2 linked regions of the Xenopus tropicalis genome follow. The protein of the gene in region 2 purifies or fractionates together with the protein of the main gene of each other region. This does not show direct contact. Links are inferred from orthologs where the notes say so. Each region holds a gene or a part of one and is shown on either strand. Other genes may lie near its edges.

What was found.
Region 1: the proteins of rab5c (region 2) and gdi1 purify together in Homo sapiens (affinity purification with mass spectrometry; 3 studies listed by BioGRID and IntAct, counting the BioPlex papers as one, with this or other methods). This does not show direct contact. The link is inferred for Xenopus tropicalis from reciprocal best matches to the Homo sapiens genes RAB5C and GDI1.

The regions. Positions count from the first base shown.
Region 1 is NC_030684.2:142,052-146,642, reverse strand, and holds the start of gdi1 (rab GDP dissociation inhibitor alpha), read right to left. Parts: upstream 3,047-4,591; 5' UTR 2,953-3,046; coding exon 2,908-2,952; intron 1-2,907. UniProt on the Homo sapiens protein: Regulates the GDP/GTP exchange reaction of most Rab proteins by inhibiting the dissociation of GDP from them, and the subsequent binding of GTP to them. Promotes the dissociation of GDP-bound Rab proteins from the membrane and inhibits their activation.
Region 2 is NC_030686.2:6,896,764-6,901,144, reverse strand, and holds the start of rab5c (ras-related protein Rab-5C), read right to left. Parts: upstream 2,982-4,381; 5' UTR 2,865-2,981; coding exon 2,699-2,864; intron 1-2,698. UniProt on the Homo sapiens protein: The small GTPases Rab are key regulators of intracellular membrane trafficking, from the formation of transport vesicles to their fusion with membranes.

The sequences.
Region 1 (4,591 bases), on a different chromosome or scaffold from region 2:
GAGTGGCACGGCCCTGTATTCATGTTATTTCCCCCCAGTACATGTCGGTGCCCCCAGCCTGTACCAGAGAGTGGCACGGCCCTGTATTCATGTTATTTCCCCCCAGTACATGTCGGTGCCCCCAGCCTGTACCAGCGAGTGGCACGGCCCTGTATTCCTGTTATTTTCCCCCCAGTACATGTCAGTGCCCCCAGCCTGTACCAGAGAGTGGCACGGCCCTGTATTCCTGTTATTTCCCCCCAGTACATGTCAGTGCCCCCAGCCTGTACCAGAGTGTGGCACGGCCCTGTATTCCTGTTATTTCCCCCAGTACATGTCAGTGCCCCCAGCCTGTACCAGAGAGTGGCACGGCCCTGTATTCCTGTTATTTCCCCCCAGTACATGTCAGTGCCCCCAGCCTGTACCAGAGAGTGGCACGGCCCTGTATTCCTGTTATTTCCCCCCAGTACATGTCAGTGCCCCCAGCCTGTACCAGAGAGTGGCACGGCCCTGTATTCCTGTTATTTCCCCCCAGTACATGTCAGTGCCCCCAGCCTGTACCAGAGAGTGGCACGGCCCTGTATTCCTGTTATTTCCCCCCAGTACATGTCAGTGCCCCCAGCCTGTACCAGCGAGTGGCACGGCCCTGTATTCCTGTTATTTCCCCCCAGTACATGTCAGTGCCCCCAGCCTGTACCAGAGAGTGGCACGGCCCTGTATTCATGTTATTTCCCCCCAGTACATGTCGGTGCCCCCAGCCTGTACCAGAGAGTGGCACGGCCCTGTATTCATGTTATTTCCCCCAGTACATGTCGGTGCCCCCAGCCTGTACCAGCGAGTGGCACGGCCCTGTATTCATGTTATTTCCCCCCAGTACATGTCAGTGCCCCCAGCCTGTACCAGCGAGTGGCACGGCCCTGTATTCCTGTTATTTCTCCCCAGTACATGTCAGTGCCCCCAGCCTGTACCAGAGAGTGGCACGGCCCTGTATTCCTGTTATTTCCCCCCAGTACATGTCAGTGCCCCCAGCCTGTACCAGAGAGTGGCACGGCCCTGTATTCCTGTTATTTCCCCCAGTACATGTCAGTGCCCCCAGCCTGTACCAGCGAGTGGCACGGCCCTGTATTCATGTTATTTCCCCCCAGTACATGTCAGTGCCCCCAGCCTGTACCAGCGAGTGGCACGGCCCTGTATTCATGTTATTTCCCCCCAGTACATGTCGGTGCCCCCAGCCTGTACCAGAGAGTGGCACGGCCCTGTATTCCTGTTATTTCTCCCCAGTACATGTCAGTGCCCCCAGCCTGTACCAGCGAGTGGCACGGCCCTGTATTCATGTTATTTCCCCCCAGTACATGTCAGTTCCCCCAGCCTGTACCAGAGAGTGGCACGGCCCTGTATTCCTGTTATTTCTCCCCAGTACATGTCAGTGCCCCCAGCCTGTACCAGAGAGTGGCACGGCCCTGTATTCCTGTTATTTCCCCCCAGTACATGTCAGTGCCCCCAGCCTGTACCAGAGAGTGGCACGGCCCTGTATTCCTGTTATTTCCCCCCAGTACATGTCAGTGCCCCCAGCCTGTACCAGAGAGTGGCACGGCCCTGTATTCATGTTATTTCCCCCCAGTACATGTCAGTGCCCCCAGCCTGTACCAGAGAGTGGCACGGCCCTGTATTCATGTTATTTCCCCCAGTACATGTCAGTGCCCCCAGCCTGTACCAGAGAGTGGCACGGCCCTGTATTCCTGTTATTTCCCCCCAGTACATGTCAGTGCCCCCAGCCTGTACCAGCGAGTGGCACGGCCCTGTATTCATGTTATTTCCCCCCAGTACATGTCGGTGCCCCCAGCCTGTACCAGAGAGTGGCACGGCCCTGTATTCATGTTATTTCCCCCCAGTACATGTCAGTGCCCCCAGCCTGTACCAGCGAGTGGCACGGCCCTGTATTCATGTTATTTCCCCCCAGTACATGTCGGTGCCCCCAGCCTGTACCAGAGAGTGGCACGGCCCTGTATTCCTGTTATTTCCCCCCAGTACATGTCGGTGCCCCCAGCCTGTACCAGAGAGTGGCACGGCCCTGTATTCATGTTATTTCCCCCCAGTACATGTCGGTGCCCCCAGCCTGTACCAGAGAGTGGCACGGCCCTGTATTCATGTTATTTCCCCCCAGTACATGTCAGTGCCCCCAGCCTGTACCAGAGAGTGGGCACAGCCCTGTATTCATGTTATTTCCCCCAGTACATGTCAGTGCCCCCAGCCTGTACCAGCGAGTGGCACGGCCCTGTATTCCTGTTATTTCCCCCCAGTACATGTCGGTGCCCCCAGCCTGTACCAGAGAGTGGCACGGCCCTGTATTCATGTTATTTCCCCCCCAGTACATGTCAGTGCCCCCAGCCTGTACCAGAGAGTGGCACGGCCCTGTATTCCTGTTATTTCCCCCCAGTACATGTCGGTGCCCCCAGCCTGTACCAGAGAGTGGCACGGCCCTGTATTCCTGTTATTTCCCCCAGTACGTGTCAGTGCCCCCAGCCTGTACCAGAGAGTGGCACGGCCCTGTATTCATGTTATTTCCCCCCAGTACATGTCAGTGCCCCCAGCCTGTACCAGAGAGTGGCACGGCCCTGTATTCATGTTATTTCCCCCCAGTACGTGTCAGTGCCCCCAGCCTGTACCAGAGAGTGGCACGGCCCTGTATTCATGTTATTTCCCCCCAGTACATGTCAGTGCCCCCATACATCCCATCAATGCCCCCAGCTGACAGTGAGGGGCCCTGCCCCCATACCCATAGGGCATTACTAGGCCTATAACAGTAATTGCCCCAGGCACTACCCACTCCAGCCCGTGTAACTGCCCCCTGAAGCCTTTCCTGGGGCCCCAGAATAAAAGAGCGAGTAGGACCCCCCAGTACCCAGCCAGGCCCCCATGGCCACTCACCGTCAGGCCGGTACCCAACACGATCACATCGTACTCCTCATCCATCGCGCCGTGAGGGGAGAGTGCGGAGCTGGAAGCTGAGCTGGACCAAAGATGGAGGAACAGCTTCACCGCCCTGTCTCCTTCCGCGCCAGCAAATAGTTCCTTCCTCTAACCCCACCCCCTGCCCCACCCTACGGCCCCCAACAGCCAGTATCGCTAGTACCGAGCTGCACTGCCGGGCACCGTCTCACTTAGTCCCTAACAGCCCCCCATGCGGGGCCCACAGACACCACAGAGGGACAATAAGGAAGAGGGCGTGTGACCTTAGTTATGCGGCTGTGAAAATAGATCCTTCCGCGTCTGCATCTTCCCAGCAAGGGATACTGGGGGGGCTAAAGATGGGAGGGTGGGGCACTGGCTGTTATCTGTGTAATAGCCCCTCTCTCATTGGGTGTCCTGCCTGTTATCTGCCCAATTACCCCTCTCTCATTGGGTGTCCTGCCTGTTATCTGCCCAATTACCCCTCTCTCATTGGGAGTCCTGCCTGTTATCTGCCCAATTACCCCTCTCTCATTGGGTGTCCTGTCTGTTATCTGCCCAATTACCCCTCTCTCATTGGGAGTCCTGTCTGTTATCTGCCCAATTACCCCCCTCTCATTGGGAGTCCTGCCTGTTATCTGCCCAATTACCCCTCTCTCATTGGGAGTCCTGCCTGTTATCTGCCCAATTACCCCCCTTTCATTGGGAGTCCTGCCTGTTATCTGCCCAATTACCCCTCTCTCATTGGGTGTCCTGCCTGTTATCTGCTCAATTACCCCTCTCTCATTGGGAGTCCTGCCTGTTATCTGCCCAATTACCCCTCTCTCATTGGGTGTCCTGCCTGTTATCTGCCCAATTACCCCTCTCTCATTGGGAGTCCTGCCTGTTATCTGCCCAATTACCCCTCTCTCATTGGGTGTCCTGTCTGTTATCTGCCCAATTACCCCTCTCTCATTGGGAGTCCTGTCTGTTATCTGCCCAATTACCCCCCTTTCATTGGGAGTCCTGCCTGTTATCTGCCCAATTACCCCTCTCTCATTGGGAGTCCTGCCTGTTATCTGCCCAATTACCCCTCTCTCATTGGGAGTCCTGCCTGTTATCTACCCAATTACCCCTTCTCTTTGGGAGTCCTGCCTGTTATCTACCCAATTGCCCCTCTCTCATTGGGTGTCCTGCCTGTTATCTGCCCAATTACCCCTCTTTCATTGGGTGTCCTGCCTGTTATCTACCCAATTACCCCTTCTCATTGGGTGTCCTGTCTGCTATCTGCCCAATTACCCCTTCTCATTGGGTGTCCTGTCTGCTATCTGCCCAATTACCCTGCTCTCACTGAGAGTTCTGCCTGTTGTCTATCCAATTACCCCTCTCTCATTGGGAGTCCTGTCTGTTATCTATCCAATTACCCCTTCTCATTGGGTGTCCTGTCTGCTATCTGCCCAATTACCCCTTCTCATTGGGTGTCCTGTCTGCTATCTTCCCAATTACCCTGCTCTCACTGAGAGTCCTGCCTGTTGTCTACCCAATTACACCTCTCTCATTGGGTGTCCTGTCTGCTATCTGCCCAATTACCCCTTCTCATTGGGTGTCCTGTCTGCTATCTGCCCAATTACCCTGCTCTCACTGAGAGTCCTGCCTGTTGTCTACCCAATTACCCCTCTCTCAT
Region 2 (4,381 bases):
TTAACAGGTGCCTAATCTCCTTTTTTCCAGCTCGAATGGCTGCCCCCGGGGCTACACAGCAGGGTATTTATATAAACTATAGTAGGGTTTCTGTAGCAAACACCCCAGCTGTACCAGTGCAGGAATGGCTGCCCCCGGGGCTACACAGCGTGGTATTTATATAAACTATAGTAGGGTTTCTGTAGCAAACACCCCAGCTGTACCAGTGCAGGAACGGCTGCCCCCGGGGCTACACAGCGGGGTATTTATATAAACTATAGTAGGGTTTCTGTAGCAAACACCCCAGCTGTACCAGTGCAGGAATGGCTGCCCCCGGGGGTACACAGCGGGGTATTTATATAAACTATAGTAGGGTTTCTGTAGCAAACACCCCAGCTGTACCAGTGCAGGAATGGCTGCCCCCGGGGCTACACAGCGGGGTATTTATATAAACTATAGTAGGGTTTCTGTAGCAAACACCCCAGCTGTACCAGTGCAGGAATGGCTGCCCCCGGGGCTACACAGCGGGGTATTTATATAAACTATAGTAGGGTTTCTGTAGCAAACACCCCAGCTGTACCAGTGCAGGAACGGCTGCCCCCGGGGCTACACAGCGGGGTATTTATATAAACTATAGTAGGGTTTCTGTAGCAAACACCCCAGCTGTACCAGTGCAGGAATGGCTGCCCCCGGGACACCCCAGCTGTACCAGTGCAGGAACGGCTGCCCCCGGGACACCCCAGCTGTACCAGTGCAGGAACGGCTGCCCCCGGGACACCCCAGCTGTACCAGTGCAGGAACGGCTGCCCCCAGGGCTACACAGCGGGGTATTTATATAAACTATAGTAGGGTTTCTGTAGCAAACACCCCAGCTGTACCAGTGCAGGAACGGCTGCCCCCGGGGCTACACAGCGGGGTATTTATATAAACTATAGTAGGGTTTCTGTAGCAAACACCCCAGCTGTACCAGTGCAGGAATGGCTGCCCCCGGGGCTACACAGCGGGGTATTTATATAAACTATAGTAGGGTTTCTGTAGCAAACACCTCAGCTGTACCAGTGCAGGAATGGCTGCCCCCGGAGCTACACAGCGGGGTATTTATATAAACTATAGTAGGGTTTCTGTAGCAAACACCCCAGCTGTACCAGTGCAGGAATGGCTGCCCCCGGGGCTACACAGCGGGGTATTTATATAAACTATAGTAGGGTTTCTGTAGCAAATACCCCAGCTGTACCAGTGCAGGAATGGCTGCCCCCGGGGCTACACAGCGGGGTATTTATATAAACTATAGTAGGGTAAAAGAACAAGGACACAGGATGACCAAGTGACCATGGTAGAGACTTACTTTAACTGAGAAGGGCTGAGCCTGATGAATGTGGCTTATATTCAAACTGAAGCTCAAAGCTAGCCATACACTGGCCTACACTGGCTACTGACCTGGCCACTCCAGAATAAGTCTTACTGGCCCAAGTATGGGGGAAAATGCCATCTTTCCTGTACAAATGCTTGATCAGGTATTGGTCAGAAAGCTTTGAAAATCCTGCCCAATTAGGGAATTATTGCAGTGGGATATTGATGTGGTCATGTGCCTGTCAGGTCTGCAAAGACCCAAATTATCATCCCATTATTAGGATCATCATTTGTGTCTATTTTCAGAGGCCAAATCGTGCAATTTATGGTACATCTAACAAGCAGATCATTTGGCAAGCGTGTTATTTTCACATAGAAAAGAAAATGAGTATAGGATCTGTTTTCTGGAACCCTTTTATCCAGAATGCTCCAAATTACAGGAAGGCCATCTCCCAAATAATTCTACTTTTTAAAAATGATTCCCTTTTCTCTGTAATAATAAAACAGTACCTGTACTTGATCCCAACTAAGATATAATTACCCCTTATTGGGGGCAGAACAGCCCTATTGGGTTTATTTCATGGTTAAATGATTCCTTTTTCTCTGTAATAATAAAACAGTACCTGTACTTGATCCCAACTAAGATATAATTACCCCTTATTGGGGCAGAACAGCCCTATTGGGTTTATTTAATGGTTAAATGATTCCCTTTTCTCTGTAATAATAAAACAGTACCTGTACTTGATCCCAACTAAGATACAATTACCCCTTATTGGGGCAGAACAGCCCTATTGGGTTTATTTCATGGTTAAATGATTCCCTTTTCTCTGTAATAATAAAACAGTACCTGTACTTGATCCCAACTAAGATATAATTACCCCTTATTGGGGCAGAACAGCCCAATTGGGTTTATTTAATGGTTAAATGATTCCCTTTTCTCTGTAATAATAAAACAGTACCTGTACTTGATCCCAACTAAGATACAATTACCCCTTATTGGGGCAGAACAGCCCTATTGGGTTTATTTAATGGTTAAATGATTCCCTTTTCTCTGTAATAATAAAACAGTACCTGTACTTGATCCCAACTAAGATATAATTACCCCTTATTGGGGCAGAACAGCCCTATTGGGTTTATTTCATGGTTAAATGATTCCCTTTTCTCTGTAATAATAAAACAGTACCTGTACTTGATCCCAACTAAGATATAATTACCCCTTATTGGGGGCAGAACAGTCCTAGTGGGTTCTTTTCATGTTTAAATGATTTCCTTTGGAGATCCAAATTACAGAAAGATTCCTTATTGGGAAAAACCCAGGCCCCGAGCATGCTGGGTAACAGTTCCCACACCTGTATAACACATAACCTACCTCCAATTGTGCTTTCTTGGTACTCGTGAAACTGGCCCTTAACGAAGCGCAGGACCAAGCTGGACTTCCCCACTGCCGACTCCCCCAGTAAAACCAACTTGAACTGGCAGATCTTGTTGCCGGCCGCCGGACCATTGGGTCGAGCAGTTGTTCCTCGACTGGCCATTTCCCTTGAAGACACTTGGGCTGACAGACACTGCAGAAATGGCAGAAGGCAAGGCACAGGTGTGACCAGAAGGCGCAAAAGGTTTACACGGCTGGACACGTAGAATATACCGGCAGCCTTTGTAAGGAGAAGAGACAAAAAGAACAAAAGCTTTAGTGATGGAAATTGTTGCAGTTTTACGTTGCATTTTACTGGTGAAACAAGTTCTGTGGAGACTCGGAGACTCTTTACCCGTCAGTCACTACTTAATCTACTACTACTTACATCGTTACAATGTGGCCCCATTTAAATTCAATGGGAAAATAGGAAATCCAGGAAAGAAAACCAATGTAGTTTGCCTGTGTGTGACTGGGAATAACAAGCCCCCAGGCATTAATATAACGCTCTGCAGTAGCATTCGCCCGTGCCCAGTTCTCTCATTTGGCCAACAAACCCTACGCTAACATTTTCTTTTGATATTTTTAATTAAAAGAACTGAAACTAATTTTTTTTTTTACACATGACATTGTTATAGGTTAGAAAAGTTATTTCATGGAAATAAATGCACATTTCCAGATCACCGGATGGCAACTCCGTAGCTCTCTATACTGTTTTATTATTACAGAGAAAAGGGAATAATTTAACCATGAAATAAACCCAATAGGGCTGTTCTGCCCCAATAAGGGGTAATTATATCTTAGTTGGGATCAAGTACAGGTACTGTTTTATTATTACAGAGAAAAGGGAATCATTTAACCATTAAATAAACCCAATAGGGCTGTTCTGCCCCCAATAAGGGGTAATTATATCTTAGTTGGGATCAAGTACAGGTACTGTTTTATTATTACAGAGAAAAGGGAATCATTTAACCATTAAATAAACCCAATAGGGCTGTTCTGCCCCAATAAGGGGTAATTATATCTTAGTTGGGATCAAGTACAGGTACTGTTTTATTATTACAGAGAAAAGGGAATCATTTAACCATTAAATAAACCCAATAGGGCTGTTCTGCCCCCAATAAGGGGTAATTATATCTTAGTTGGGATCAAGTACAGGTACTGTTTTATTATTACAGAGAAAAGGGAATCATTTAAACATGAAATAAACCCAATAGGGCTGTTCTGCCCCAATAAGGGGTAATTATATCTTAGTTGGGATCAAGTACAGGTACTGTTTTATTATTACAGAGAAAAGGGAATCATTTAACCATGAAATAAACCCAATAGGGCTGTTCTGCCCCAATAAGGGGTAATTATATCTTAGTTGGGATCAAGTAAAGGTACTGTTTTATTATTACAGAGAAAAGGGAATCATTTTATAAAATGTGAATTATTTGATTAAAATGGAGTCTATGGGAGAAGCCTTTCCGTAATTCGGAACTTTCCGGATAAGGGGTGTGATACCGGTACACACATAGCAGTTACAAACACAACGCACTATATTTACACAACACTGCTTTTTCATATTATGGAACTTTCTATTGTTCCCAGGTTCTGTATACTTAAGGTTGGTGTGGATATTTGTTACTGGAATCATTT